Linked DNA regions of Elephas maximus indicus. Each later gene encodes a partner of the first gene's protein in a complex. Links are inferred from orthologs where the notes say so. Each region holds a gene or a part of one and is shown on either strand. Other genes may lie near its edges.

Region 1 (16,948 bases):
TAGCTAGAGCAATAAGGCAAGAAAAGGAAATAAAGGGCATCCAAATTGTTGAGGAAGAAGTAAAATTATTCCTAATCGCAGATTATATACTATACATAGAGAGACCCCACAAGAAATCCACTGGAACTAACAGACTCAGCAGAGTAGCAGCATATACGTTAAACACAGAAAAATCAGTTGGATTCCTACACACCAATAAAGAGAACTACAAAAAGGAAATCAGGAAAATAAACCCCCTAAAAAAAATTAAATACTTAGAAATAAATCTAACCAAGGATGTGAAAGGCCTATATAAAGAAAACTACAAAACACTACTGCAAGAAACCAAAAGAGATCTACATAAATGAAAAACATACTATGATCATGGAGAGGTAGACTTAACATTATGAAAAGATCAATTCTACTCAAAGCAATCTACAAATACAATGCAATCTCGATCCAAATTATAACAGCATCCTTTAACGAGATGGAAAAACTAATCATTAACTTTATATGGAAAAGAAAGAGGCCGCAGATAAGAAAAGCATTATTGAAGAAGAAGAAGAAAGTATGAAGCCTCACACCATCTGACCTCAGAACCTACCGTACAGCTACGGTAGTCAAAACAGCCTGGTACTGGTACAACGACAAACACACTGACCAATGGAACAGAATTGAGAACCCAGATGTAAATCCATCCACCGATGATCACCTGACCTTGGACAAAGGCCCAAAGTACATTAAATGAGGAAAAGATGGTCTTTTTAACAAAAGGTGCTAACAAAACTGGATGTCCATCTGTAAAAAAAAAATGAAACAGAACCCATATCTCACACCATACACACACACTAATTTAAAATGGATCAAAGATCTAAATATAAAACCAAAAACTATAAAGATCATGGAAGAAACAATAGGTTTAGCCCTAGGAGCTAAAATATAAAACCAAAAACTATAAAGATCATGGAAGAAACAATAGGTTTAGCCCTAGGAGCCCTAATACACATCATAAATAAGATACAAATCATAATGAACACACAAACACCAGAAGATAAGCTAGATAAATGGGATTTTCTAAAAATTAAGCACTTATACCTATCAAAAGACTTCATCAAAAGACTAAAAAGAGAACCTAAGACTGGGAAAAAATTTTTGGCTATGACAAATCTGAAAAAGGTCTAATCTCTAAAATCTATAGGAAAATCTTACACCTCTACAACAAAAAGACAAATAATCCAATTAAAATATGCACAAAGGATATGAACAGACACTTCACCAAAGAGGACATTCAAACAGCTAACAGACACGAGAAATGCTCGTGATCACTAGCCATTACAGAAATGCAAATCAAAACGACGAGATACCATCTCACCCCCGACATTGGTGGCACAAATCAAAGAAACAGAAGATAACAAATGCTGGAGAGGCTGCAGGGAGACTGAAACTCTTGTGAACTGCTAGTGGGAATGCAAAATGGTACAACCATTTTGGAAAATGATATGGTGCTTCCTTGAAAAGCTAGAAATAGAAATACCAAAAAATCCAGGAATCCTACTCCTAGGAATATATCCTAGAGAGGTAAGAGCCATCACATGAATAGACATATGCACACCCATGATCACTGCAGCATTATTCACAACAGCAAAAAGATAGAAAAGTCCTAAGTGCCCATCAATAGATACATGGATAAACATACTGTGATACATACACACAATGGAATACTATGCAACGATAAAAGGCATTGATGAATCTGCGAAGCATCTCACAACATTGATGAATCTGGAGGGCATTATGCTGAGTGAAACAAGTCAATCACAAAAGGACAAATACTGCTGAGACCACCACTATAAAAACTCATAGAAAGTTTAACACAGAAAGAAACAGTCTTTGATGGTTATGAGGGAGGGGAGGGGAGGGGAGGGATGGGGAAAGAAAAACACTAACTAGACAATAAACAGAGAAATGATTGAAGTGATCAAAGCTTATATTTCACTGGGATCCACGATCAACACCCATGGAAGCAGCAGTCAAGAAATCAAACAACGCATTGTAGCATTGGGCATTGGGCAAATCTGCTGCAAAAGACCTCTTTAAAGTGTTAAAAAGCAAAGATGTCACTTTAAGGACTAAGGTGCGCCTGACCTAAGCCACAGTGTTTTCAATAGCCTCATATGCATGTGAAAGCTGGACGACGATGAATAAGGAAGACTGAAGAAGAACAAAGGCCTTTGAGTTGTGGTGTTGGTGAAGGGTACTGAACATACCATGGACTGCCAAAAGAACAAACAAGTCTGCCTCTTAAGAAGCACAGTCAGAACGCTCCTCAGCAGCGAGAATGACGAGGCTTCGTCTCACATACTTCGGACACTTTATCAGGAGGGACTAGTCCCTGGGGAAGGGACTAGAGGAGGGTCATTGAAAAAAAGGAAGACCCTCAACAAGATGGACTGACACAGTGGCTGCAACAACCGGCTCAAGCAAAACAACTATCACGAGGATGACACAGGACCAGGCAGTGTTTTGTTCAGTTGTACACAGGGTCACTATGAGCAGGAACCAACTCGATGGCACCTAACAACAACAGACAACAGATAAGTGGTAACTTTGGTGAAGGGTAATGCAGTACATTGGTCAGCACAACTTGACCAATGCAAAGTAATAGAAACATCACAGACACGTCCAAACTACCTGAGACCAAGTTACTGGGCTGAGAGCTGGGGACCATGGTCTCGTGGAACATCTAGCTCAACTGGCATAGCACAGTTTATAAAGAAAATGTTTTGCATCTACTTTCATGAGTAGCCACTGAGGTCTTAAAAGCTTGTACACGGCCATCTAAGATACTTCTACTGGTCCCACTCTATCTGGAACAAGGGAGAATGAAGAAAACCAAAGACACAAGGGAAAGATTAGTCTAAGGACTAATGGACCACAACTACCACAACCTCCCCCAGACTACGTCCAGCACAACCATATGATGCCCAGCTACCACCACTAACTGCTCTGACAGGGGTCACAACAGAGGGTCCTGGACTGAGATGGAGAAAAATGTAAAACAAAATTCAATCTCACAAAAATGGCCAGACTTAATGGTCAGACAGAGACTAGAGAAATGCCAAAAGTATGAGCCCTGGACACCCTTTTAACTCAGCACCGAAGTCCCTACTGAGGCTCACCCTTCCCCCAAAGATTAGACAGGCCTATAAAACAAACAATAACACACATAGTTCGACCACATATATGAGACTAAATGGGCACACCATCCCAGGGGCAAGGATGGGAAGGCAAGAGGGGACAGGAAAGTTGGATGAATACAAATGGGGAACCTGAGGTCAAAAAGAGGAGCATGTTGACATGACGTAGGGTTCTCAACCAATGTCACAAAACAATATGTGTATTAATTGTTCAGTGAGAAACCAATTTGCTCTGTAAACTTTCACTTAAAGCCCAATTAAAAAATAAAAACAGATAAAATGGAAAACCAAGTACATGAGAAAATTAGAACACAGTCATGCAGGCTTTAGGATTATATACAGTATTATACTTGCAACACACGTATGACTGTGAGCTTCCTTACAAAACAAAAATGAAAGTTTTAGAATTTTCTTTCCCCATAAAGAAGAAGTACACCAGCTTAGAAAAAATACAGCTTTCTATGGCAATGGAAATGCTGTATGTGTGTCCTCAGCACCTAGAACAGTATATCTCTCCAAAACTGTAACAGGGTCATACTGAAAAATATCCTCAATAATATGCTTACAATCAATGCAGTAATAGCAAGTTTCCCAGGATTGTTTCCTATTCCACAGTGTAAGCTAAGACAGGATAGTCATGACAGAGATCAGTTAGGTACCCACTAAGCCCATTTCCTCTTTAACCATTCACACAGCTAGACCCCATTTTGCAGCCTTCCTTGCAGTTAGGTGTAGCCATTTGATTGAATTCAAGCCAATGAAAAATGTAAGCCATTTCCAGGCCCTGCCCGTGAAAACCACATTTTCCCCATACTCTTTTCCATTTGAGAGCTTGACACAGGCAAGCACCGTGGCCTAAGAAGCTTTATGTTGATAGAGAATTACTAGATGAAAGGAGCCTGGGACCCTAAATCACTGCATGGAGGAAATCTGCTCACCAGACAGGTTCTACGTGTGAAAGAAACAAACTTCAATTGTGCAAAGCCATGTAGATTTGGGGGCTTCCCTGGTATAGCACCAACTGTCACACAAAAAAACACAATCCTTCAAGGACCAGAATGATCTAAGTATTCAGTTTTCCAGTCAATCTTGATTCTAGGGTAAGCCTAAACTATCTACAGCAGCACTGCCCAATAGAACTTTCTGTGATGATGGAAATGTTCTATAACCTGCACTCTCTAATGTGATGGCCACTGGCCACATGTGGATACTGAGCACTTGAAATGTGGCTAGTGTGACCAAGGAACTGAGTTTTTAATCTTATTTAATTTCAATTAATTTAAATTTAAATAGCCACCTGTGGCAAGTGGCTACCATACCGGACATCACAGATTGAGCGGCATGGTTATAAAATTGTACTATATGAACCACAGTTAAATAACAGGGCCAAACCCACAGTATAAGCAGGATGTATCTTCCTGGAATATCACTTTCGCTTAGAGATAATAGGAAACATGTCTGTATTAAAATATTTATTAGCTACACTGTAGAGGCAATATAGAATAGCAATTAAACATGCAGCCTCTGGAGCCAGGCTGTCTGAGTTAGATGACTGGTTTTGCCTATACACCCTGGACATTGTGTAAAACCAACATAAGACTCTGAAAGGTGGAAAGAAGAAGGCAGACTGGCTAGGAGCAGGAGAGCTGAAGAACACAGTGGTGAGTTCCTTGGGTTTTCTTTTTGCCTCATTATCCCAGACTGGGTGGTTGAGCACCCAACAACCCAGGCAGGACAACAACACAGACAAAAAAAAAAAAAAAATCCCAAGAATAGCTTGCTCTTTCTAACCAAAGAAGCAAGAAAGGGGCGGCCTAGAAAGCCAAAACAGGAGCCCTGGAGGCACAACAGTTAAGTGTTCAGCTGCTAACCTGAAGGCTGGCTGTTTGAACCTGCCCAGCCATTCCACAGGAGAAAGAACTGGCGATCTGCTTCTGAAAAGATTAAAAAAAAACCGCCAAGAAAACCATACGGGGCAGTTCTACTCCGGCACATGGGGTCGCTATGAGTCAAAAATCAACTCGACAGCACCTAACAACAACAGCAGCAAGCCAAACTTTTAGACAATTGCTCTACTCTAGGTAAACACCACAAAAACACGCAAACAACAACAAAAACTCTGCAGCCTCAACCCCATCAGCAAAGGCTTAGGCTTTCGCCCTTGCTGGGCTGTAATGAGGCACTCCTCCGGGCACAGCCTCAGAGAAGGCTTAGTGGGATGCTGGAACTTTCATGCCTGCATAGCCTTTCTTCCCCCTTCCTGCTGTGTCAGTGGACACTGTCTGAGGAGCCTGTATGTCCACCCCAACCTCTGCCCTGCTGGTGTCAGAGGAAGCCTAGAGGGCAGCCAAGACTTTCATCTACCACCTAGGGGTAACACGGCCGTCCCCCAACTCCCACGGTGAAGGCTATGTGGAGAGCAGTAACAAGGCACCGTACCCCTCCCAGCCACGGTGGTACCGGGGAGTCCTAGCAGGGAGCTTGCACTCCCACCCCTTCACAGTCATAACAAGACTGAGTGGGGAACTGGACTTTCAATACCATCCAGCAGTAACAAGCCACTGTTCCTTCCCTCAGCAGCTCAGTGTCACAGAAGGCCTATTAAAACAGAAAATCTAAATAATATACAGCATTTCATAATATAATACCCAAAACGTTCAGGATTCAATCCAAAATCACTAGTGATACCAAGAAGTGCTAAACCTCACCCTGAATGAGAAACAACCCACAGACACCAACACCAAGATGACACAGATGTTAGAGTTATCGGACAGAGATTTTAGAGTGGCCTTCGTAACAATGCCGAAAAAAGCAATTATAAACAAGCTTATAACAAATAAAAAATCTGAAAGTCACAGCAAATAAATGTAAGATATAAAGACAATCCAGATGAAAATTTTACAACTAAAAAAAGTTCAATAATCGGAATAAATATCTCAACGGATGGACCCAACTGCAGAATGGTGACAACAGACAAAAGAATCAATGCAACTGAAGACAAGAATAGAAATTAGCCAATCTCGACAACAGAGAAAAATAGACTGAGGGGAAAAAAAAAAAGAACAGAGCCTCAGGGACACATGGGACTATACGAAAGTATCTAACATTCATCTCATTGGAGTCCCAGAGGAGAGGAAAAAGTGCTCAAAGAAATAATGGCTGAAAACTTCCCAAATGTGACAAAAGACATAAACCTACAGTTTCAAGAATCTGAGTGAACCACAAACAAGACAAAAACTCAAAAACTAAACCCATTACTGTCCAGTCAATTCCAACTTATGAAGATCCCATGTGTTACAGAGTAGAGCTGCTCCATAGGGTTTTCTTGGCTGTAATCTTTATGGAAGCAGATCACCAGGCCTTTTTTTCTGTGGTGCTGTTTAGTGATTTTAATGGTTTCAAACCACCAACCTTTAGGCTAGTGGTTGAAAGCTTAACCACTTGTGCCACCTGGGGCGGGGGTCGGGGGAACTGGTCGCCCTGGAGTTGATTCCAACTCATAGCACCACCCAGGGACCTACAAATAGTGTAAGGTCAAAGAAATACCATCATGGCACATCATATCCAAACCTCAGAACACTAAAAACAAAGAATCTTGAAAGCAGTGAGAGAGAAACAAAACTTTTCCTATTAAAAAAAAAAGAAGAAGCTAAATCCAGTGCCGTCAAGTCGATTCCAACTCATAGCAACCCTACAGGACAGAGTAGAGCTGCCCCCATAGAGTTTCCGAGGAGCACCTGGTGTATTCAAACTGCTGACCCTTTGGTTAGCAGCCATAGCACTTAACCACTACGCCACCAGAGTTTCTGCCTTTCTTATAGAGGAAAATAATTTGAAAGATAGGTTTCTCACCAGAAACCATGAAGGCCAGAAGAAAATGGCACAACAACTTCCAAGTGCTGAAAGAAAAGAACTGTCAACCCAGAGGTCTACGTCCAGCAAAAATGTCCCTCAGGAATAAAGGGGAAATCAAGACATTCTCAAGCAAGGCTTGGAACCAGTGAACAATCACCTGGGGATCTATAAAAATCACCTGGGGATGTTGCTAAACTGTGGATTCTGATTCTGACTATCACAGGTGGAAATGCAAATTTTCAGCAGGCTTCACACCAGAACGAACCGGTTCAAGGCCCTGTTATTAAGTGGAGGAAAGCTAAGAGAATCTGTCACCAGCAAACCTACCCTACAAGAATGACTAAAGAAAAAGTTTCCGAAACAGAAAGGAAATGATAAAAGAAGAGGTCCTGGAACACCAAGAAGAAAGAACAATGGAAAGAGTAAAGACCAAAAAACTAAACCCACCGTGTCAAGTCGATTCGGACTCACAGCGACCCTATAATAAAAATAGGAGTAAATACAATAGAGCTTCCTTCTCCAACAGTGTGCCATAAAGTAGTTGTGGGCGCTTCCCTGTCACTATCGCTAATCCTCACAACAATTTACGTAAGAGAAAAGGAAGCTGAAGCCCAAAGAGTTTATTTACTTGACTTGTCCAAGGCCGTGCTTGTAAAAAGTTAAAACCTGATTTATTTGGATCAAAAATTCGTGATCTTTTCCCCACACACTCAAGACTGAAGTTTGGAGAGACGGTGCCTAGGAAAGGGAGGTAAACTGCCCCAGTCTCACTGCGTGAAAAGAGCCAGGACCAAACCCAAGTCGACAGTTCCCGCTCAGGGCACGCGCAGAGCGCCCAGGAGCGAGGACACAACTCCCGCCACCCTCTCCACCGCCGACCCCGCTTTTGCCTTACCTGGCTGCCCGACCTATCTCCGTCCGGCTGCACCCTGACTTCCCATGACGGTACCCCACACCTTTCCTAACCCCCTTGCACTGCCCCTGAGAACGGCGAGCGGGCCCTTGCGTCATCAGCCGTCGCCGGAGCGTGGTCACGTGACGCCCCGCTCTGCCCACCGCCCCTTTGGTCACGTGACGGCCAGAGGCTCCGGGAGCGGAAGCCGGGGTCAGTCCCGGTGGCTGTACCAGTCTGGGGATCTAAGGGGACCCTTGCGTAGGGGGAGCGGAGGTCGCGAGTCCGTGTGCGACTGCCGGCCCTGAATGAGCGCCACTGGCGCGGCCCTAGTGACAGGTGAGTCGGGCGAGGTGCGCGCGCCCTCCTCTGCACGTTTCCTCTTCCCGTCCTCCGTCCCGGCGCTGGGCCACCCTGGCGTCGGGGTGGGGGGGTCTGGAGGGAGGGCCCTAGGGCCGAGGACTTGGCGGCAGCAGGTGGCTGGGGGCTGCAGTCCAGGCTCTTCATTTCCACTTTGATGGAAAAAATGTTGCACATTCCTTTGGCGCTTTAGGAAGCGATGTTTCCATGCTGGGCTCCTATCTGATTCTTCCAAGTTCTACGGAGCAGTGCCGTGCGAACGTCATAATTCTTTTTACTCTCAAGAAAAATGAGAACTTTTACAGTCTAACGGACCAGGATTTGAATTCTAGTTCTGTGATGGACTGGATTTGGGCAAATCACTGCCCCTCTCTGCACCTTAATTTCCTCACAGGTGACATAATAGCGCCAAAGTCCTGTCCTTTGCATTTCGAAAAAAGAATTCTAGGCCTATGGTCTCACCATTAAAAAAAAAAAAAATGTGACAGAGCCAGTAATAGAATCGGGTCTTCTAATTCGAAGTGCACTGTTCTTTCTCAAACATAGGTGATGGGAGGGAGGGGCGAGTTTTATTGCCTCTGCCCACAGTGAGGGACCCCCAGTTTTCCTTCACCTGGATTCATAAATCCGAGTAGAATGATCAGAGTCATTTCAGAACATTTCTGAAACAGATATGCCTGTCACTTTCATCTTGGTCAGCAACCACTATATTTTGTTTTTGATAATGGATTTGTGGAAACCAGTGCTTCCTTCTTTATGGAACTGAGGTTTTGTGAAATGATAAAAATAGACATCATCCTTTGTCCTCTGAGTAGGGTAAACAGTAGTTTGTCTCAGAATAATTTAATTTTCTTCAGAATTTCGGTTCTGTACTCATGGTGTGATGATGCCAACCTTTCTTCATGAAAGCGTGCTGTCTTTTGTCTAGGAGTACTTTCCAAACTGAAAAGCCCAGCTTTGTGCCACATTCTTAAAAATAAAGTTACAACCTCTTTTCTGGATGACTTGTAAAAAAAAACTAGAAAATTGAGTGGACTCTGGTTCTTTTTTACACTAGTAGTAATGCAGCCTATATTGAGTAAAACGGTCTTTATGAATTTCCTTCATCTCTAGCATCAAGAGAACCCCTCAAAGGCTGGTTATAGACAGCTTTTTCTACAGTTTTTATTTTCACCATACTCTGTGGTTGTTAGCTGCCATCGATTGGACCCCCGACTCAAGGCAAGCGCGTGTGCAGTGGAACAGAATGCCCACTTTTGTGCCGTCCTCATGATTGCCTGGGGGTAAGGCCATTGTGATCCGTAGGGTTTTCGTTGGTTACTTTTCAGAATGGCCGGGCCTTTCTTCCTAGTCCATCGTAGTCTAGCAGCTCTACTGAAACCTGTTCAGCATCACAGCAACACCCAAACGTCCACTGACGGATGATGGCTGAGCGTGAGGTGCATCAGCAGAGAATCAAACCTCGATTTCCTGCACGGAAGGCGAGAATGCTACCGCTGAACCACTGCCCCTTCTGTAAAGTTTCCTAACTCTGAGATGGAGGCAAGGTGTTTGGGCATCTTGAATGATGGTTCCTAGGTTCTGTTCTTCAGGGCCAGTTTTTCTGTCAACAGTGGGGGCTGTTTACCAGATACTCTAGCTAAAGAATAATTTGTGCAAATTGTGGTAATTTCATTTGTTAACATGAAAAATCGAACTAGTGCAGATGACATGGTCTAGTACGTGGTAATGTAACTAAGTGATTTCCTTCTTTCAGTTAATCTTGTTTTAGCTTGTTCAAAAATTTAGCTAGAGATGCTAGCAGTGTTAGGGAAGGAAAACTCAACTGTTCTTCATGAGTTGGGGCAGATTACAGGCACTTCCCTGAAAGGGCATTAAATATAACCATATCTTGCTTTTATATTAAAAAAGTCAAGATAAACATTTGTTTTTTAGAATTTTAGACAAGGTGATTAACCTATATATTAAAGGTCCATAACATTTCTCTCACTGTTGCCAAACATTTATTTTCCTATTCTCCTACTAATGTTGTTCTGGAAATTGGCTACGTTGTAATTCTTGGGTTAGGGCATAAGGATTAAAACAAGAGATTGACATGCAAAAGTCTATGTCATTATCCCAGTTAGTTTTGTTTTGAACTTGAGGCGTCAGCTTCTCTGAATATGTACTTGAAGGTGCTGAGTGTGTCTGTTTGTCTGCTTGTTGGGAAGGAGTGAGGAAGAAAGTAGTTAACTTGATTTGTTTTAAACTGCTCCAGGGCCCCACTGTTGGCCCTATCTCGTTATCCACAACCAGGTAGCAGTTAGACCTGTTAACTATCGCTTGCCCCTCTCTGAATGTGTCTAGAGTTTTCATCCTGCTGAGACCTGGTTTAGTTTGGTGTTCTTCAGAGGACCCTCCACAGGGGACTGTTTTGCCCGTTGTCTTTTATTTTTCCCTTTTCCTCTCTCATTTTCCATGCCAGTCCATATCATTGCAGAAAATTAAGTTCTCCTTCAGAATTTACTGAAATTCAGCCTGTTAGAGATCAGTGTGGTTTAACAAGCAAACATCACAGAGAAAACTAAAAGGATTTGTTAAAAATCCATGCCTTATGTGTATTATAGGATGCCGTCATGAGAGCTCTAGACAGCCTAGTGGCTTCTCATATCTCCTTGCTCTCAAACTCAACCCCATCCACCTTTCCTGATCTCTCCTTCTGTCCTTTGCTCACTAGGCTCCAGCCACATCAGCCATCTTACTGTTCCTTAAACACATCAAGCACATTCCTGTCCTGAGGCCTTTGCACTTTTAATCCCTACCTGGAATGCCATTCACCCAGATAATTATTACTGCTCCAAAATTTAGTAATTTAAGACAACAATTACTTATTATCTCACATTTTCTGTGTTTAGAAAGCCAGGGTATGACTTAGCCCAATACCTTGGCCTCAGGGATTCTTCTGAAGGGTGCAGTCAAGCTGAGCATGGGCTCACATCTGAAGGGTCTCACCTGAAGGCTTAACTGGGATTGTGGGAACCCATTTCCAAGCTCACTCCTGTGATCGTTGGCAGGCCTCAGTCCCTGTCACATGAGCCTCTCCAAAGGCTGTCTCACAACATGGCAATTTGCTTCCCCTGTGGCAAGCAAGCTACAGAAGATACCCAAGCCAGAAGCCACAATTTTTTGTAATTTTTGTCATCTTTCCACATTCTGGTTTTATGTACAGTGTAGTCACTATTTCAGCATTCAGTATCTGAGTCCATGTGTTGTAAGACTGCCTGTGGAAATAAAAGATGGTATTGACATAAAAATGATAATGAGCTGACTACTTTTATTCAAATATTCCTGGCCAATGATGTCTGTGAGGCCAAATGCTTATCTTTGCTAGCTATTTCCTAATGGTTAATATCATATGTATAGAGTACAATACCAGTGCAGAGTGAAAGTGCAAATGTTGCAAAAGACACAGGCTTCCATGAACTTGACAAATGATGACCTAGCTAAATTAACAATAGAGACAAGAAATACAACAAAGATGGTGACAAAAATGGTTGGGAGAGCCTTTGAGAAGAAAATGATGCCTTGAAACTTTTGTGCAAAAATTACCATTTTAAGGTCAGGCTATGAAAGTCCACTCTGAAGTACAGGATATTGTATTATCAAATTGACAGTTTTGGTGAAATCATGTACTCCCCCAAAGTACCAGTTTTATATTACACAAAATTTAGAGTAAAATTACGATAAGAGAAAAAAGATTTTCTTTCTTTCTTTTTTTTTTTTTTCCTCTTATCAACTATGTACTAATTCTTTGGCCAAACCAAGTTGAGTTGATTTATTTCAGGGGACTATATGGTATACTTTCATAATTTTTAATTACATCACTTTTTTTTTGTTTTATAAAATGGAAGCATCCTATTTATGTTTCTGCATCTTTATTTTTCCCCTTAGTAATAGCTCTCAGAAATCCTCCAACTTAACCGGTGTAGTTCTAATTCCTACTTATTAATGGCTACTTAAATTCCAGTTTCCTTACTAATGGGTATTTACTTTGTCTTCAAATTTTGTAAGATGACTAACAATTCTGCAGGAAGCATCCTTGGACCTGTATCTTTATATGTTGCTGCTTTTATTTCTTGGCGTAGATTCCCAGGCATGAGATTACTAAGTCAAAAAGTGTGTATATTTTTAATTTCAGTAAGTATTGGTTCACTTTCTCAAGACTAATAATTCACATTTCCACCAGTAGTGTATTTCCCCAGTTCCTACCTGAAACAGATATTATTATACGTTTTAATCATTGCCAACCTAATGGAAGTAAAGTGGTTTTTGGCACTGGCTTTGATTTGTAGCTCCTTCACTGCCAGTGAACTAAGGATCTTTCGGATGGTTGTCTGTCATTGGGATTACTCTTCCCTGAACTCACCTTTTATATCTTCTGCCTGTTTCTCTGTTGGGTTATTTGCTCTCTTCTTGTCAGCTTGTGAGATCGCTTTGCGTGTTTTAAAAATCAACCCTCTGTCTGCCCTCTGCATTGCAAATTCATCGTTGTAATTCTTTGCCATAGGAAAAAAAAATTTTTAAGAAATTATGAACTTTATTTAATAATATTTTTTCAGAGGAATTTTTTTTAGTGTGTGAGTTAGGTGAAAGTTTACAGAGCAAATTAGTTCCTCATTAAACAGTTAATACACAGATTGTTTTGTGACATTGGTTGCCAACCCCACGATGTGTCAACACTCTCCCCTTCTCCATCTTGGGTTCTCTGTTTCCATTTGTCCAGTTGTCCTGTCCCTTCCTGTCTTCTCGTCTTTGCTTTCAGCCTGGTGTGCCCATTTAGTCTCGTATACATGATTGAACTATGAAGCACATCCCTCACATGTGTTATTGTTGGCCCTATAAACCAAAAAACCAAAACCAAACCCTCGGCCATCAAGTCGATTCCAACTCATAGCGACCCTATAGGACAGAGTAGAACTGCCCCATAGAGTTTCCAAGGACCGCCTGGTGCCGAACCTTTGGTTAACAGCCGTAAAATTTAACCGCTACGCCAGCAGGGTTTCTGTTGGCCCTATAGACCTGTCTAATCTTTGGCTGAAGGGTGGACCTTGGGAGTGATTTCGGTATTGAGCTAAAAGGATGTCTGGGGGCCATACTTTCGGAATTTCTCCAGTCAGGCCAGCAAGCCTGGGGTTTTTGTGTGTGTGTGTCTGAATTTTAATTTTGTTCTGTATTTCTACATTTTTCTCCTGCTCTGTTTGGGACTCTGTATTGTGATCCCTGTCAGAGCGGTTGGCGGTGATAATCAGGCACCGTCTAGTTGTGCTGGGCTCAGTCTGGTGGAGGTTGTGGTAGTTGTGGTCCATTAGTCCTTTGGACCAATCTTTCCCTTGTATCCTTGGTCTTCTCCTTTGTTCCAGCTGGGAGCCCTAGAAAAGTTTTTAAGTGTCATCTACTAAACTATGTCTTTTCTAACTTCTGGGTTTCCTTCTCTAGCCCTGATTTCCTAGACGATGCCACTTTCTTAAAGATCATCTATCATAAAAAGAATACTGTAGCCAAGATAAGATCAAGTAAAGGCTCCATGCTGACAGGGTAATGGCAGCTGCACCCAGTATTTCTTTATCTTGACCACACACTCAAGCACTTCACGTCTTTCTCTGACTTTTTCTTCAGGGCTTTTCTCTCAACAGTATTATAAGCAGCTGGAGGGGGCAGGCGTCACCTCTCATATCCCTCATGTTATTTTTTATGTAATTGTCGTGTGCATCAATGCCAGGGAGTGAGTTAAGCACAGAGGATACAGAGGCGAATATCGTCATTTTATATTTATTTGCTGCAGTCTTCCACAAGATCAGTCTTTGTCAATCCTGGCTTTACATCAGAATCATCCAGGGAACTTGTTAAAAATAGGAGACTGCCTCTAACCTACTTCACCACAAACCCCATGACCCCAGATGACACTGTGATTCAGCCAGGTTTGAGAACCGCTGCATTGCAATGTAGTTGCTTAAACATTGTTACATCCAGCCTGGCAGAGAGGTACTCAGCAAGGAGTGCTTGAATAAAGGAGAGCAACCCTTGCCTTCAAGAAATTGCAGGAGAACAACCTGTTAGCCATAGTGACAGTATCAGTATGCTAAGTGCTGTAAGCATTCTCATTCAGTGCTGCGGAATACAAGTAACCGATCCCAATGGCAGTGCTAAACGCCTGAGTGCTAAATTGTAGGAGAGGAGACTTGTGGACCGCTTTGATTTAGTATTTATAAACCATCTTCACGACATTTTGGAGAACCCAGCATCTGTATTTTTAAAAGGAGTCTTGAACGTGTTTATGCCATAACCCTGCAATTCCATCTCCAGGAAAGAATTGAACAAATGCCTTAAAATGTTGTACAGGGATGCTTCTCCCAGCTTCATTTAGATTGCTTGCAATTACTTGCTAATATAACAAACAGTACGGAAGAGGTTGTGCAATTGAGGGTACTTAGAACCACACGTGCCCAGTGGATCCTTCTCCCAAGCCAGGTCATCAGCAACGTCACGTCTTTTCTTAAAGGGAGAAGTGTGTAAAGGATTGAAAAAGCCCAGAGTGCCGCATGCAAAACATGAGTTCCATAGCAAAACTCTTTATTTATTGCAATTTTTCTAGTAAGTTTGGAAGAAAAATTTCATGTATGTGTTACGTATGTATACACACATGCTTCCTTTAAAAATGATGACTTTCTTTTTTTTTTTTTTTAATTTTGGATACAGGTTCTTTGATGGAGCAGCTAGTCTATGAGCAGCCCTGGTTTCATTTCATGATCTTCAGGCTCCAGCCCTGAAGCCAACTAGACATCCCCACTGGTGAGGAGAGTAGCTGGCCACCCTCACTATGTTGGATTTTCTAGCTGAGAACAACCTCTGTGGCCAAGCAATCCTGAGGATTGTTTCCTGTGGCAACGCCATCATTGCTGAACTTTTGAGGCTCTCTGAGTTTATTCCTGCTGTGTTCAGGTTGAAGGACCGAGCCGACCAACAGAAATATGGTGATATCATATTTGATTTCAGCTATTTTAAGGTAATCTTCCTCGACTGCATTTTTACAACTGCCCTTTCTACTAAAACTGCTGTCTGGAAACCATGAGACTCTGAGAGATTGAATAACTATGGAGAAAGAGTTGAAGAGGAAAGCTTTTGAACGAAACCTAGTATCAGTTACTAACTTGAAAATTGGATATAGCTATTTTGGTTTTGTTGATTGTATAGAAGCCCTAACACAATATAAAATTAAAAAAAAAAAAAAGTAACTTTGAAATAATACATTTCACAGTGAAGTGCCCCAAGCTTAAATGCATGTTAATCTTGGTTACATTTCAAATCCATTTCCTTCAACAAGTTTTTATATCTAGGCTTCTGTTATCTTCATTACTTTCATTTGCTCTGCTTTACATTTTCTGATATCCCTTTTAAAGCATAAGAACAGTTTTTTAAAGGACTGTTTAGGCATTATGACCAGCAAGTATGCTTTTATTGACCTTTGCACATAAATCTGTTTCTCTTCTTAGGGTCCAGAGTTATGGGAAAGCAAACTGGAAGCTAAGCCAGAGCTACAGGATTTAGATGAAGAATTTCGTGAAAACAACATCGAAATTGTGACCAGATTTTATTTAGCATTTCAGAGTGTGCATAAATACATTGTAGACTTAAACAGGTATGATTCATTTAGTCATAGCTTCTTCTGGTTGTCAGTAGAGGAGAGGGAGAAGGGACACACTAGGACATGTGTGAGTAACAGCGCCACTTACTAGCTTACATCATACCAAATCGTATGTGGCACTAGTCATCTTAAGTATTTCAGAATTTTATGATAATTTCCTTTGCTTGTGAGGTATCAGAATAATTTTGGTTTATACTAAGTCATATGGCTTTCAACCCGGTAGTTTGTAATTGTGTTCTCAAGTATTAGGTATGAGAAGTAAAAAAATATATAGAAGTTTTTTTGCAGTTAACTTCCTGTCTCTTCCACAGTTTTTTTTTTTTTTTTTCTTCTTTTTTCCGTTTTTATTGTGCTTTAGGTCAAAGTTTACAGCTCAAGTCAATCTCTCATGCAAAAATTCATACACTGTTAGGTGACATTGGTTGTGACAGCATTGTCACAATGTGACAGCATACTCTCCCTTTCCACCCCGGGTTTCTTAGGTCCAGCCAGCCAGCTCCTGTCCCTTCCTGCCTTCTCCTCCTGCCTCCAGGCAGGAGCCTCCGATTTGGTCTCTCGTATCTGATTGAACTAAGAAGCACACTCCTAATGAGTATTATTTTTTGTTTTATAGTCCAGTCGAATCTTTGAAGAGTAGGCTTTGGGAATGGTTTTAGTTCTGAGTTAATAGAGCATCCTGCAGCCATGGCTTCAGGGGTTCCTCCAGTCTCTGTCAGACCTTCAAGTCTTGTCTTTTTACATAAATTTGAGTTCTGCTGCACGTTTTTCTCCTGCTCCATCCGGGATTGTCTGTTGTGTTCCCTGTCAAGGTGGTCATTGGTGGTAGCCAAGCACCGTCTAGTTCTTCTGGTCTCAGGCTGATGGAGTCTCTGATTTAGTGGACCTTTTGTCTCTTGGGCTAGTATTTTCCTTGTATCATTGCTGTTCTTCATTCTTCTTTGTTCCAAGTGAGTTGGGACCAATTGATGCATCTTAGATGGCCACTCC
Region 2 (16,428 bases), on another chromosome or scaffold:
CAGGAGTGTTGATTGACAGTTTGGATGAGGAACGGTTGTACACCCCCCATGAATGCCCTCCCCCTGGCTTGCATAGCCATGCAGCTACCCCTTCCCCTGGGATCACTTCTTGAGAAACTGAACCATTGAGACTCTAAGCTCAGGGGCGAGGTGCCTTACTGAAACCAAGGTAGTACTTGAAAGTCCACATATGGAAAGGTGAGACCTTTTGCCAACCGTTTCAAAGAAAGCAGGATAATCATTAGGACATCTGCTGTTTTACTGGGGACCTCTTAACTGTAGGAGGTCTGGTAGTGCAGGGGATAAGAGCTCAGGTTGCAAACTAAAAGGTGGGCAGTTCAAATCCACCAGTCGCTCCTTGGAAACCCTGTGGGGCAGTTCTACTCTGTCCTATTGGGTTGCTGTGAGTCGGAACCGACTCTATGGCACCTAACAACAACCACCCCTAGCTAAATATCTTCAGGTCTCTTGAGGTGTAGTCAGTTTTCTAGAAAGGAATCCAATCTCCTGACTAGAGAATAGAGCCCATAAGCCAGCTTTCTGAGTGAAGTTAACATAGCCAGAGCAATTAAAAGAAACAGCCTGAAAAGTGAATTCTTAACACAACTGATTTAACTAGACTAGAATTCCTCCACTTGCCAAATCCCACCAGATGATTTGTATCACTCCTGGGGGGATGGAGGCAGGGTAGGGATAGAGGAAATTTATTTATGTTTTCCCACTATTATGAACTACCCCATGCCTCTTATCTAAAGCTTCCACCCTGAAGCAGAGTGGGAAGAAACAAAAGAAAAATGGGAACCCAGTTCTCATCATTCTCCCCTACATAAGAATTTATTCATGGTAAAATTAATAGCAATATTATAGTAACCTGCTACGAAAACAAAGATACTGAAAAATTCTGAAGGTTTTTTTTTTAATTGAATTAAGATATGCAGGTGGCATATATTAGGCTGCCCTTTGAAATCAGAATTCATTAGAATCTACTTGTTTTCCCTCAGAATTTCACTATAGTAAATGAAATCTTGTAATACATTTCCAGTGAGAGAAAGCCTGGAAGAGAGAGTACATAGGTCAGAAGATTCTGGCAGTGGGCCAAGTCTTCCAGCTATAGGTTGTTGTTAATAGTACTGGAAATTCAGTTATTAAAATGTGAATGATGCTGTCAGGAGCTATGGATGAGATGAACGGTAATCATCAAGGATCCTAGGAGGCAGAGAGAAACTGCCACACTTCTACTCTTCTTTCACGTCTTCTAGCATTATATTTGTCTTTTTTTTTTTTTTTTTAAGAAACCAAACCGCTTTTGAAAATTTCTTTGTCAGTGGACCAACTGAGAACAAATTCATGTTACTACAGTTTCATTTTATTTTGCTACTTGTACTTAATCATGAGATAACTGTCTTGCTTTTTGGTTTTTTCCCTAGCTAGGAGGCACATGGAAAAAGACTAGGTTGGCCAGTTGAAGTTTTTGCTCAGGAAGGCTAAATGAGTGAGTTTACCCAGAGTTGTGGGTCCAGTCACAATCAGGGGTTCATAGATGATCAAGGGATCATTAGGCCCAAAAGTAATTCAACAGATACTTATGGAGGGTTTACTATAGGTCAGACATTGGGCTTGAGCCTTAATAGTGAACAAGGTGGAGTCTCTGCCCTCAATCAATAATCTAAACAAACAGGCAAGTATAATTCATACTAAGATAAGGTTAAGCAGAGGATGCTCTGGAAGCATATATTAGGACAGACAGTTAATCTAGTCTTGTTGGAGCCAGGGAAAACTCCAAGGAAGGATGATGAGACTTCTGCTACTGGTTAGAATGTAGAAAGATGAGAAAAAGCCTTTCACCTCTGTGGTAGTAACAAGTAGTAAAGACAAAGTAAAAATCATACTTTTTCATAAGGCTATTGAAAAGCAGTAGATGTAAGAAGGCCTTGATGAACTGAATTCTAGAAGGACATAGGTGAGTAGAGAGCTGTGGCATTACTATACCTGGGGAGAAAGGCCCAGTCAGAGTGCAAGTGGGTAGAAGAGCAAGCCTGCCACACTCTGGGAGATTTTGCTGAGACAAGAAGAAATTGGCTGAGACTTTGCCAATAGCAGGAAGTGGTGGAACAGACTTGGGTCTGGAAGGACCCCAACTGCAAAAATAAATCACGTAGGCCTATACTCCATCTCCAAGATTACTAAGAAAGCAAGAGTGGAGAAAGGGCTTTGGTAAGTAAAAAGAATTCGTGCATTCTCATGGTGATTGGACTGGGTCCTGTCAAAGTTGAATCCAAAGATAAATCAAAATGATCATTCAAACATTGAGAAGATCAAAGAGTTCAGTCCTGCAGGAGGTCAGGAGTTAGGCTAATTGGACGGAAACTCAATCTAGTTAGAGCCGCAGCACAGTATCAGTTCACCTCAATTTGTGAAGGAAGATGAATGCTCAGCCCCTCACTTAACTTTCCATTATTCTCTATTTCACAGTGCCGAGCATAAAAAATTATGAGAGAGGCCAAAAAGCAAGCACTCAATAGAAATATAAATGAACCAGATATTGTGATTATTAGATAAGGACATTAAAATAACTATTCTAAGTTTGTTTTTTATGGAAGAGAAGATAAACTTAATGGGCAAAGGGAATTTTAGGGGGAAAAAAGAAACTCCAAAAAAAATGGATGTTTTAGAAGTGAAAAACATAATATTTGAAATCAAAAGTTCATTGTACAAGCTTTATAATAAATCAGACACTAGGAAAAAAAGTATCAGTGAACTTGAAGGTATTTGTTAGGAATTAACCACACTGAAACACAGGGAGAGAAAAATCTTTAGGAAAAAAATAACGAGCAGGGCATCAACGACCTGTGGGACAATAGCAAGGAATCATAAAACTCGTGTGTCTCTGGAATCCCAGAAAGAGAAGATGTGACAGAAAATAATTTTTTTTGAAGAATTAATAACCAAAAATCTTTCCAATTTAATTTAAAAACCAACCTCTTTTAATATCCAAGAAGCTCAGCAAACCTCAAGCAGGATAAATACAAAGGAAATCATGCCCAAGCACATTATATTCAAACTGTTGAAAACCAAACACAAGAGTTGTGAGGGATGAGTAGGAGTTATTCAGACAGGGTAGTCAGAGAGAAAGAGAGATTGTTCCAGTCAGAAGAGGTAACATTTTTATAGGCTCACAGCAAGTGGTTCCGGAAATTGAAAGAAAGTCTTTGGAATTAAAATGGAGGGTTAGAAAGATTAGTGAGAGGTGAGGTTAGAGCAGTGAGCAAGGCCATAAAGAGGGCCTTGTAAGCACATTAAGCTGGGGAAATGGGAAGCATAGTTATACCCTGGAGCCCTGGTGGCCTACTTGTTAAGAGCTAGGCTGCCATCTAAAAGGTAGGCAGTTCATATCCACCATCTGTTCCTTGGAAAACCTATGGGCCTTCTACTCTGCCCTATAAGGTCACTATGAGTTGAAATCAACTTGATGGCAATGGGTTGTTTTTTTTTTATTTGTTTGTTTTTTAAATTATATCCTGGATAACATGATCAGATTTGTCTCTGTAAAAAGTCACTATGGCTACAATATTTAGAATAGATTGCAGAAACACAAAATGGAGGCAGAAGGAGGCTCTTGCAGTAATCCAGGCATAAGAGAATGCTGACAGAGCTTGGATGGAGAGTTACAGAGGAACTCAAGTTGTTTAGGAGCCAAAAAATACAGGCTGTGAAAGGGAGAAAATGTAAAGGGTGACTTTAGTAGCTATTTAACTTTTCCAGGCTCACCTACCCATCCTCATCAATAATTCCAGTTACTTTGTGCCAAACAGAAAGTCCTAAAATACAATTTTGATAATGCCACTTCCCTGCTTAAGGCTCTTAAGTAGCTCCCATCATTCCTGATCTTGAGATCTTCCATGACTTCCCACCTCACCCAGAATGAAAGCCAACCCTTACAATGGCCTACAAAGCCGTATATAATCAGGTCCCCACATACCTTTCAGACCTCATCTCCTTCAACTCCCCTTCTTGTACACTTTGCTTCAGCCACACTGGCTTCCAGTGTGAGATTTGGGCTGGATATATAAATGTAAAAAACATTACAGGTTGGGAAAATGAGGAGAAACCAGCCAAAGGAAAATGAGAAGAAGTAGCCAGAGTGATAAAAGGAAAACCAGAAAAGAGTAATATCCTGGAAGGAAAATGAAATTTTCAGGCAGGAGAAGGTGATTAACTTTGTCACATGTTGCTTATCCAAGCTAAATAAGAAGAAAGAAATGATCAAAGGATTTAGCATTATGAAGGTTATTGGTGGCCTTGAGATCACCAGTTTTTATGGCATAGTGGGCTAACTGGAGTAGGATTAGGAGAGACTGGGAGGAGAGAAATCGAAGGGAGTGATGGTGGACAATCTTGAGGAATCTTTCTGAAAAGGGTAGCTGGAAAGGGAAGGAAGTGGAGTCAAGACATTTATGTTAAGACCAGTGAAATAATAGCATGTTCGTATTCAGCTGGGAATGATCCAACGAAAAGGGAAACATTGACGATAGAGGAGAGAGTGGGGGCAATCATTGGAGTGATGTTTTTGTTTTGTTCTCAAGTAGGTGAGAAGGAATAGTATCTAGTACACAAATAGAGGAATTGGCTTTATATAGTAGGAGAGATTATCCATAGTAATTGTAGGAAAGGCAAGGTTTCAGGGCTCAGATGTGGGTTGAAAAGAGATGTGGCAGTGGGAGCTTGTGACGGTATAACCTCAAGAGAGCATGAATTTAAAGTGAAACAGGGTCTGGTTGAGGCCAACCGGTATTAATTGTATACAATTGGTACAGAAGAGACAGAACATTCCATTTACTACGTTTTTGCCAGGTAAGTATGATGAAGGGAGGGAGGGAAAAGTTTGTTGGGTGATTATAATGAATCATAAGATCTAAACTGGGTAAAAAAGGAAGTGAGGATATAATGAGGTTATGGTACAGTGAAAAAGCTTTCTCGTGATGGCTCGAAGAACTGTTAAAGTCAAGATAACAGAGAGAATGAGCTCAAAAGATCGAAAGTACCGACCAGACAGTGGATCCTTCAAATTAAGATTATGGAGAGAGTGAAGATATTTGGCAATGAAAAGTTCTGGAGAATGCCCATGGAAGAGTGAGTGTGGCTGAAATAAGAAAATGGAGGACAAGAGCACTAAAGGACAGGAGTTCAAGGAACTGTGAGACCAAGTGTCTTAGTTATCTAGTGCTGCTGTAACAGAAATACGACAAGTGGATGGCTTCAACAAAGAGAAATTTATTCTCTTACAGTCCAGTAGGCTACAACTACAAATTCAGGGTGTCAGCTCCAGGGGAAGGCTTTTTCTCTCTGTTAGCTCTGGAGGAAGGTCTTTTTTTTTAATCAACCTTTTCTTGGTCTAGGAGCTTCTTTGCGCAGGAACCTTAGGTCCAAGGACGCGCTCTGCTCCCGGCACTGCTTTCTCGGTAGTATGAGATCCCCATGTCTCTCTGCTTGCTCCTCTCTTTTATATCTTAAAAGAGATTGGCTTAAGACACTATCTAATCTTGTAGATCTCATCAGTATAACTGCCACTAATTCATCTCATTAACATCATAGTGATAGGATTTACAACGCATAGAGAAATCACATCAGATGACAAAATGATAGACAGTCATACAATACTGGGAATCATGGCCTACTAGCCAAATTGACAGATATTTGGGGGGAACACAATTCAATCCATGACACCAAGGTACCAGAAAGATTATGTTCGCAGATATTGAAATCCCACAAGTTATGATAATAGTGTTATAAACAGTGGCAGTGAGACAAAAAGTAAGGACTCCAAGGAAAGAGTAGCAGTGACCTAAAGGTCTGTAGAGGGATGCTACAAGGTATCTTTCTATATAGGATAGCATGAACTCAGAGCTGTGGGGCATTTTTAGGGGAAGGAAAAGCAATGGTATGGAAGCAGTGAGGATGAACGAAAACACCTCCTAAACTAATGATTCAGGGATGTGGGCAAGAAAACAACTACAGGCTGCACAGGAAGCAGTATCCTTAATAAGCAGGCAAGTTAGAGCAGAAAGAGAGGAATGGTCAAAGAAGACGTTGAGAAAATGGGGATTTTGCTAATGACTGAGTTCCAGAGGGCATTGTGAAAGGATTTGTTGAGCTGGTGAGAGGCAAGAAAAGGCTTGTAGAAATCAATATGAGGTTGGAAGTCTGAGAGATAACTTAGGAGTCCAGGAATAATTATGATGACCTCAAAGTGCAGAGTGATAGTGGAGGAGGAAAGGGTGAGGACTCGCCAGGAGCAAGCAGAGCTCTGGAACGAGTTCAGTGGGAATCCTTGCTCCTATTAAAGATGGGGTGGAAACCAACGGAGGGGCGCTTTTACAGGGGAAATGTAGGTCTCTGGGGCTCAAACATCAGTGCCTTCACACATGTTGATACTCTCTGTGGAATGTTCCTCCCAATCTTCTTCATCTTGCTTATGTTTGCATCTTCAAAACTCAGCTCATGCATCAACTCCTTCAGGAAGTCACCCCTAATTTCACCAGCCTGGGTTAGGTGCTCCTCTTTGGGGCGTATTTTAGCCTAGTTTTTATCACACTAAATTTTTTTTTTTTCATTTTTCTGTCTCTCTTCCTGGACAACTTAGTATCTGTTTGTTAACTTGTTTATTTTCTGTTTATCTACGTGAAGGCAGGAATTGTGTGTTCTGTTAACTGTTGTATTCCCAACTCATATCATAGTGCCCTGGTGGCTCAGTGGTTAAAGTGATTCACTGCTAACTGAAAGGTTAGCGGTTCGATACCATCAGTGGCTCTGTGGGAGAAAGATGTGGCAGTCTGCTTCCATAGAGATTTATAGTTTTGGAAACCCTACGGGGTCACTATGAGTCGGAATTAACTTGACAGCAGTGGGTTTGGTTTGGTTTTGGTGGCACATTGTAGGGAACATCTGTTCAAAGAATGGATGGGTGGATGAATCTTCAGTGCTTGATACCATAGTTGGATCATAGTAGAACCTCAAAACTGTGTATTAAAATTATTAATGAGTTTTCATTGCAAAGCAGAGCAGCTGGTACTAACTGAGGAGTCATAAGAAATGAAGAAAATCCTTCAAAGAATTTACAGTCTAATGGAAAAATTTAGGCTCATGTAGACCTTATCAAGGTGAAAAGACAAAACAATACAGTTGCCTACAACTGTCACACTATTTATCTTATTTATAGTTGTAGTCTCAGTACTCCAGAACCCTTAATTGTCCTCCTAAGGAACTTGTACATAGACCAAGAGGCAGTCATTTGAACAGAAAAAAGGGATACTGTGTGGTTTAAAATCAGGGAAGGTGTGCGTCAAGATGGTATCCTTTCACCATACTTGCTCAGTCTGTATGCTGAGCAAATAATATGAGAAGCTGGACTATATGAAGAATGCAGCATCTGGACTGGAGGAAGACTAATTAACAGCCTGCATTATGCTAATGATACCTTGCTTGCTCAAAGTGAAGAGGATGTGAAGCACTTACTGATGAAGATCAAAGACTACAGCCTTCAGTATGCAGTACACCTCAAGATAAAGAAAACAAAAATCTTCACAACTGGACCAATAAGCAACATCATGACAAATAGAGAAAAGACTGAAATTGTCAAAGATTTCATTTTACTTGGACCAACAAAAAATGCCCATAGAAGCAGCAGTCAAGAAATCGAAGGACATATTGCATTGGGCAAATGTGTTGCAAAAGACCACTTTAAAATCTTAAAAATCACAGATGTTACTCTGGTGACTAAGGTGTATCTGACCCAAGCCATGGTATTTTCAATCACTTCATAAGCATGTGAAAGCTGGACAATGAAAAAGAACGAAGAAGAATTTACCCATTTGAATGATGGTGAAGAATACTGAATATACCACGGACTGCGAGAAGAATGAATAAATCTGTCTTGGAAGAAGTACAGCTAGGCTGCTTCTTAGAAGTGAGGATGGCAAGACTTGTCTCATGTACTTTAGAAATGTTATCAGGAGGGACCAGTCCCTGAAGAAAGACATCATGCTTGGTAGAGAGTCTGCAAGAGAGAGAGGAAGACGGTCAACAAGATGGATTGACACAGTCGCTGCAACGATGGGCTCAAAACTATAGCAATGATTGTGAGGATGGCACAGGACCACACAGTGTTTGGTCAGTGTTTCATTATGTTGTACATGGGGTCGCTATGAGTCTGAATCAACTTGACAGCACCTAACAAGTCCCAGTAGAGTACTAGAACATGAGAGGGACTCAACAGATTTGCTGAAAGACAACAATTAAAAATATTCGATGATACTCAACTAGTTATGGACATGAACCCCAAAAAAACCAATGAAACGATAAGCATTTAAAAGTATTCTTCATCCTATCCATCTTCACTTCCACCTCTCATTTCTAAGTGTGCAAGAGTGCAAAGCTCTTTCCAGATCACTGTAAGAATGCAATTCCTGATTTTTTTTTTTTTTTGGCCCCCTTTTCAAGATTTTACCACCAAAACCTCAGCCTGGTTCAACCCTGCGGCCCCCAGTCTGACGTCACAATCTGGACCTAGAACTACCAATCCCAGAATGCTGAGCTCAGGGGCGGGCTCGCGGGGAGTCGCCGAGTGATTGGCGAGCGGAGGCATTTTCTTCCGGCGGAAGGGCTGAGGAGGCGGGGATTTGTGGAGGTGTCTGGGCGCTATTACCGGGTTGGGCGGGCCCTGTCTGGGAGGGGTCTGGAAGAGAGCCCTGGGTTCCCCGCCAGCTGAGGAGATGGATGAGGACGGGCTTCCTCTCATGGGGTCGGGCATAGACTTGACCAAGGTTTGTAAAAGACGGAGTTGAACTTCCGGAGACCGGGGAGGAGGACGAGGAAGGGACTCCCCGTTCCCAGAAAGACCCCACTTCGCCAGGCCCCACCTTGTACCTGGCCCCGGGCCCCTCTTCTGCTGGCCTCGGGAGGGAGTCTTCACCTTTCACCTTGAAAAGGGGTCCCTCCAGAGCTGATTAAGGGGATGTTGTGCCTCTCCCAGCCTTCGCTTCCCGGGTAACGTGTCTCTGTGCCCGGAGACGAGCGACTGGCGACTTGGGCCCGTTGCGACCTCTTAACCCTACCTCTTTGATTCGGCCCCCACGTGTTTTTGTGTGTTTACCTGTGTTGCCTTTACCTGTAAAATTTGTGAATCCGGAGTCAATTCTCAAAATTTTATGTAGCTTCTATCGTCTTCGGACCCCCCACCTCACAGTTTATGAAAACAAGTTAATGACGATTGTCAATACTTCAAGAAACTCATATCACACAGCAAGACGCCCTGTTCCTATGCCCATATGTCAAAGGAATTGCACTGTGTACGTTCCTCCGGTACGAATCATGTTTGTTTTTACATAACACAGGTGCCAGCTATTCAACAGAAAAGAACGGTGGCATTTCTAAACCAATTTGTGGTGCACACAGTACAGTTCCTCAACCACTTTTCTACAATTTGTGAGGAGGTAGGTCCTGTGATGTTGGTTTATAGAGTAGCCTAGAAATCACTTTGCTTTTTTTGAGGATGGCAAATGGAGTTAAAGAAGAATCACTCTGTTCAGATTGGCCTCTTGTCACCCAGTTGTTTTGTTAAGCTAAAGTCAGTCCTGCACTCCACCTCTGCTGAATAGTGTTTTAAAGGTCTTTGGAAGATAGTTCAGTAAGACTTATTGTGGTTAAAAAAAAAAAAGCTTATTGTGATTAAAGAGAATAAAAGGAATTCCAAGATTTCATAGTTGAAAACACTTGTGATTTTGAAATTTGTTACATGTGCTCTTACCCAGATATTTACATTTTTAAGTATATATTGTTTCAGTTTATTTTCAAATTGTTTTACATTCCTTGATCCAAACTGGAGCCCTGGTGGTGCAGTGTTAAAAGCTTGGCTGTTAACCATAAGGTTAACAGTTCAAATCCACCAGCTGCTCCTTGGAAACCCTATGGGGCAGTTTTACTCTGCCCTGTGGGGTCCCCATCAATCTAAATCCACTGGACAGCAACAGGTTTGGTTTGGTTTGATCCAAAAGATGCCCTGGAGAGGTAGCCTAGAAAGCTAACTTTGGCATCAGATGTCATTATGGAAATAAGAATATTTTCTGCAGATAACTCGTAAGTGAGGATTAAGTACCAGATTAAGGAGTAGGTACCAAATCCAGGGATTCTTGTTCTTAAAAAAAAGATGGGTAAGGCAAATTGGAAACATGGCTTGAAATTAAGTTTAAGAAAGAAGAGAGAGAGGTAAATCAGGGGGATTAGATAATTCACTGGGGCTTAGATAGTTAGGTGAGTTGATTGATTAAACAATTTGAAGTTCATTCTGTTTCATATGAGGTAAATAGCCTTAGCTAGTAGAGTGTTACATGTATTATTGTTACTACAATTTTTATGGAGATAGGAAAACTGTTTTCAGCGGATAAGATTCCTGCTGTTGTTTTTGCCTACTTATCAAAATCTTTTTACCGTCTCATTAAGACAAAAGAAAATAAAATATGGTATGATATGCCAGTTGATAGAGTCAGGGGATCAAAACAGTGTGTTTTATCTAACAGCAGGTCCAGAGCCTAGGTGCTTGCTTCCATGTATTTTATTTTGTACTGTGCCTTTCTAATTGGAGATAGAATTGACTGAATAAAAAGCAGTAAGCCAAGGATTTAGCCCTTCACTTTTTATACCAGAGTAGGGTGAAGTATCTAGGTGGGGAGTATCTCAGGATTGTTAATAGAGAGGAGCAGATACTCCATCCCTATATGCTTCATCACCAGATTAAAAAATAGAATAAACAACAACAAAACAAGAAGTAAACACTCTTGTGAAAGCAACTTGATTGAGCTGCTCTAAGGCAGGGATAACCCCTCCTCATTGTAGTACCTAACAATTTTCAAAGCCTGGAGAGTGTTGTCTGTTTGACAGCTAAAGCAAAGATAACAATAATCATCACTTACTTACTGATTGCTTTTAAGCCTCATGCTTCACAAGTTTCCCCCATCTGTTCCTCTCTCAGCTTCTCCCCCAACTGTTTTGGCTATGTCACTACTTCCTAGTTCTTCGTGAACTCTGAGAAAAAGCTTATTGACCAAAAACTCAATAAGTTTAAAGTAGTTTGCCTCTTTCTCCTAAGGATGATAACCTGTGGTTGATTGTAAGTCGTATTTTACAATTCACTTTAGAGGTTTGGATAATTGTGTCAGTTATAGATATGTTTGCTCAATGTGATGACAGTAAGGAAAAAACCAAACCTGTTGCTGTCGAGTCAATTCCAACTCATAGTGACCCTATAGGACAGAGTAGAACTGTCCCATAGAGTTTCCAAGGAGCACCTGATAGATTCAAACTGCCAACCTTTTGGTTAGCAGCTGTAGCTCTTTACTATGCCACCAGGGTTTCCGTAAAGACAATAACTAATATTTATCATGTGATTATTCTGTATTAGGCATTGTACTAAGTGCTTTACGTGATCATCATCACAGCCCAGCCATTTGAGAGAGGTTCAGGTATCCCAGTTACACAGAAACTGAGCTGTAGAAAGGCTTAAATCATTTGCTTAGACATTTATTCATTTGTTTGTTCATTCATTCATTCATCACTGGCTGCTGTATAACTTGCCCACAGCCACACAGCTAGAAAGTAACAGAGCTGGGATTCCATCTCTGGTCTATTAACTTGAAAAGCCAAAAACATCTTACTACCCGGTTACATTATACCTTCTGTTCTGAAAAAGAAGTTTGGTTGCATCATTTTTCAGGGAGAAAGTGCAGTGCTTTCTTTATAGTTATTTCATAATCTGTTTTTGAGATTACTTTTCTTTGCTGTGTCTTGTCTTTTTGATGTAACATCTTTTTGATACGATAAATTCCAAAGATATATGTATTCAAGCATAAAGTGCCATTTTCTCCTGAGCTAGAATCAATATGGTATTTCAAAATGATTTTTAATTTGTTGATAATAACGTTACGACCTGTAGTCCTTGTTTACTTAAAACCTTAAACAGGAACCAAAATGACTATGTTTCCCTCCTCAAAAAATGAATGTCAACTTTTATTTTTTGAATTGGTGGAGAGCAGAGGGGTCAGAGGGTTTACAAAAAAAAAAAAAAAAACTTTTTTCCTCACAGGATTTGGTTTGAACCAAACCAAAACTATAGCAGTTAAACTCATGCTGGAATTGAATTTGAAACAAATTGCTAGAGCAGTTTCTTCATTAATAGTGCTGTGTTTAGAGTTCTATAATAAGGAGAAACCCTGAAGATCTAAACTTTCTATACTTTATGCATACTATACTGTGCTACTTTGTCACTCTTCTAATGACAGGCACTAGAGTAGTAGAAAGGTTAGAAGGCAGAGAAGGGAAAGTAGTTGAATCAGATACAAGTTACAGAATTACTTAGGGTCATCTTTTCTTCCTTCACAAATATCCTAGTAAGCACTTGTGTCCTGACCCTAGTCAGTAAAATCTTACGGTTTTCCACTGGGACTGCAAATTTACAAAATGGAGGGTAGCACAAGCTCTATGGCTATTGCAGGTAAAACTGAGTTTGGTGAATTGTAAAGTCAAAGATACTCTCTAAATAGATCACAGTCAGATGTGCTATTATGACTCAGACTTGTAACATGCATAGCATACTGGACTTTTAATCGTTTTTTAATATTCTAAAATTTTTTTTTCAAAAATCTTCAAGTACAGGGAAAAGTGCTGTGAATTCTCACATGAACTGAAAATATTTATGGCAGGGAGCCCTGGTGGCGCAGTGGTTAAGGTGCTTGACTGCTAACTGAAACATCAGCGGTTCGAAACTACCAGTGACTCCACTGGAGAAAGATGTGGCAGTGTGCTTCCATAAAGATTTACAGCCTTGGAAACCCTATGGGGTCGCTATGAGTCGGAATTGACTCAGTGGCAGTGGGTTTTGGTTTATCGTCTACGTCCAGTATTTAAGCCAGCCATCAGACTTAACCTTCAACCAGATAATGTTTTTCTTAAAACCCTTGTTTGCTGCCACATATTTTACAACTGCTGAGCTTAAGTGTCAGATGAAGCTTAACAAAACTGTTGATTGCTTTCCGTTCTGGCTTCTAGGACATATACAACCCAGTGGTGTATAGCAAGAGATCCATTATTTAAAAATATTGTTTCTCTTTTAGAGACGTAGATATGCAAACTGGATATTTTATGACCCTGAAAAACCACTCTTTATTTTTCTTTCCATGTTCAACTAGTGGTTCCATATTTCTTCCTTTTGTCTTCTTTTTCACTTTAATAAAATGTTTTGCCTTAGAAATAGGTAGGTGATAAATCAAGAAGTTCTCAGTTTATCTGAAAAATTTCAGGTACATTGTAGTTTTGCCCGTTATCCCAAGCCAAGGCATTTCAGATTTATTTCAAATTATTCCAGAAATGAAAGGATGGTAATGGAAAAGACCATTACCTTTCCATTCCCTGTTTGCTAAAACTTTCAGAGGTGGGGACAGTTACTATCATTGATCATGTTACTTATACCATATCCATAGTCATTCATACTTTAGAACAGTGGTTTCAACCAGGGGACATTTGGCATTGTCTATAAAAAAAAAATTTTTTTTTTAATTAACTTTTATTGAGCTTCAAGTGAACGTTTACAAATCAAGTCAAACTGTTTTTTTTTTTTTTTTAATAGACATTTTTGGTTGTCACAACTGAGGGGTGCTACAGGCACTTAGTGGGTGGATGCCAGACATACTGCTAAACATCCTATAGTACATAGGACAGCTTCACACAACAAATAATAACCAGTCCAAAATGTCAGTGGAGCCCAGGTTAAGAAACTCTACATTAGAGGGATCTGGGAGTTGCAGAAGGAAAATGAAGAAGGCGTAAACATCTTAGAAATGAACGTCAGTAGCCCATAAATGAAACCAGGCTCATTGTCATTTGATAATGGCTTTTTTTAAGAAATATGTATGGAAACCCTGGTGGAGTAGAGGTTAAGTGCTGTGGCTGCTAACCAAAAAGTTGGCAGTTCGAATCCGCCAGGCACTCCTTGGAAACTCTACAGGGCAGTTCGACTGTCCTATAGGGTCGCTATGAGTTGGAATCGACTCGATGGCAGTGAGTTTGGTTTTGGCTGGGAAGAAATATATATATTCATGTATGTGATAGAGGTGATTACATGGAAATGGGCTCAAAACCATTTGTTTATGCTGGATTATCTTTGAAGAGCAGAGGTTCTGAATTGTGCTGTGGACCTTTTAGCAGTCCAGTAAAGCCAAATTACTGTTTTTAAGTGCATAAAATAAAATACGTAGGATTACAAAAGAACCGATGAAATATCATCAAAATACTTTTAAAAACTCAAAATTATGGTAACACATCCTTTATTAAAGCATTAAATATGTGAGTGGCGTGTCTAATCATGACTAACTGTGAATTATGACAAATGTAAATAATTGAAAAATCTGCAGCAATTGTAATGTGATAAAAAAAATCTGTGATTTCTATGGGTGACAAAGCTATATGTCCTAATACTACTGTAATCCTGTTGATTAAGTTTAAAGTTGAAGAAAATGCTAAATTTAAGTCAGAGATAAATAAAAATAGAGATGTAGTTTTTTTTCACCCAGCCAGGTTCATGGACCCCAGGTTTAGAAAGACTGGGTAGGTGATTTTCTCAAAATCATATCAACAACAGGCTTTCCTCTTGGCTTGGGAAGATCTATGTTGTAATAAATTGTGTTGTTATTTTATTATCCATGAAGGCATTATCCATGTTCTCTAGAGCTGGTTTTTGAGGTTCTAAAATATTAAATGTGTTATCTGAAAATATAAAATACATCCTAAAAAAAAAAAAATTTTTTTTTTTTAATGTTACATATTGAAACATTTGAAAATCATTGCATAACATACCCAGCATCCCTACAAGAATTTGTAAATTAACAATTAGACTATTTTGGACATATTATAAAACTCAGTTTGTTCCTGAAATCTTCTTTACATTTGTCAATCTCGTTATAAAATAGGGTGATAGTAGCAGTATGAAGCAAAAAGCTACTGCTTAAAATACCAATCCTTATAATTACTTTAAATTAAAAAAAAAATTATTCTCAAACCAGTATCAAGGATATTTAGATAATGTTTTATAAATTAAAATATATTGATGTTTACAATAAATCAGCATCTTTCATGTCTCACATAGTTAAATCATTCATATAATCTTGATTTTTAAAAAAAATAAAGTCATTTCATTTTGGTGAGGTTTTTATTATGGTGGATGAAAATAGGTAAGGTGAGTGGCAAAGCAAAAAATAGTTATACCAGACTAATCTGCACCCCTCAAAATATGAGAATCACTGCTCTAGAAAGTATAACTTATTTCTCCAAGCCTCTTTAAATTTTCATAGTTTTCCAAATAAACATTCTCATCCTTAGTTCTTATTTACTAAGATCTGTATTTCAGTCTTACCCTGTCTGAATCATTGAGTACCCATTGGAATTAGGGACAAGTTAGTTTTATGCTATTACCCTGAAATGTTTTTTAAGCCATTTTTTAAAAATAATTTCAGAAAAACAACACCTGTGTTAGGAGATTTACCACGGTCAGAAAAATTTGATTCTCAGTATTTAGCACAGTAGCATCTTAGTCTTAATGAGAAGCAAATTGATTATTTGTTGGCCTTGAATAACAAAATTTGTGCCTAGGCAATACCCAGGAATTTTCCATCATGTTTCAAAAATGTAACATTGTTTCAAAAGTAGCATCTGAAGAGTATTGGCTGTGGAGTTGGAGTATTTGAGTTCAGATTATTTAATTTATGTGATGATACAGTTTTCTTATCTTTAAGATTAGCATATATTCCTACTTCATAGATTTGGTGTGAGAATTCAATTATTACGTTGCGTGTACAGGATAGCGTGTAAGGTAAATGCTCAAATGTTTCAGTGATGATTATTGCTTAAAAGTATATACTGACATAGGCATGTAAAGACAAAAATTGATTTTTTAAAAATTCAATTTTGCCTTTTTCTGTATTCACTTAACTTTAATCAAACTAATGTGTGCATTTTTAAAACAAATTATAAATTACCATTCACTTTACAAATTTGCTGTAGGATTTCTTCAATTTCTAAGCTACTTTAATGAATTAAAAGATTGATTAAATTTGCCTAAATTTTATTCCCATGGTTTTCAGTAATACTCCTATAATTTAGAGAGGAATTCCTCTGTCTACATTTTATAAACCTGTTTTTATGTTTCCATAAACCTTGTGTGAACAAATCCTGGATGTCAAAGTTAAACTTAGCCTGATTGTTCACTTTGAATGCCATTAAAACTAGATTCTGATGTTTTATTTCTAAATTATGTTCTTCGTAGATACCAACATGCTCATCTTAAAAATAAGTGTCCTGTGAAGGAGCACTGACTACTTTGGGTTTTTT

The links.
Region 2: WASHC5 (region 1) and WASHC3 share a complex: the UniProt entries of both Homo sapiens proteins name them as parts of the WASH core complex. The link is inferred for Elephas maximus indicus from reciprocal best matches to the Homo sapiens genes WASHC5 and WASHC3.

Annotation. Positions count from the first base shown.
Region 1 is NC_064833.1:18,039,140-18,056,087, forward strand, and holds the start of WASHC5 (WASH complex subunit 5), read left to right. Parts: upstream 1-8,110; 5' UTR 8,111-8,259; intron 8,260-15,015; 5' UTR 15,016-15,136; coding exon 15,137-15,322; intron 15,323-15,809; coding exon 15,810-15,955; intron 15,956-16,948. UniProt on the Homo sapiens protein: Acts as a component of the WASH core complex that functions as a nucleation-promoting factor (NPF) at the surface of endosomes, where it recruits and activates the Arp2/3 complex to induce actin polymerization, playing a key role in the fission of tubules that serve as transport intermediates during endosome sorting.
Region 2 is NC_064822.1:168,408,405-168,424,832, reverse strand, and holds the start of WASHC3 (WASH complex subunit 3), read left to right. Parts: upstream 1-8,669; 5' UTR 8,670-8,768; coding exon 8,769-8,819; intron 8,820-9,389; coding exon 9,390-9,488; intron 9,489-16,428. UniProt on the Homo sapiens protein: Acts as a component of the WASH core complex that functions as a nucleation-promoting factor (NPF) at the surface of endosomes, where it recruits and activates the Arp2/3 complex to induce actin polymerization, playing a key role in the fission of tubules that serve as transport intermediates during endosome sorting.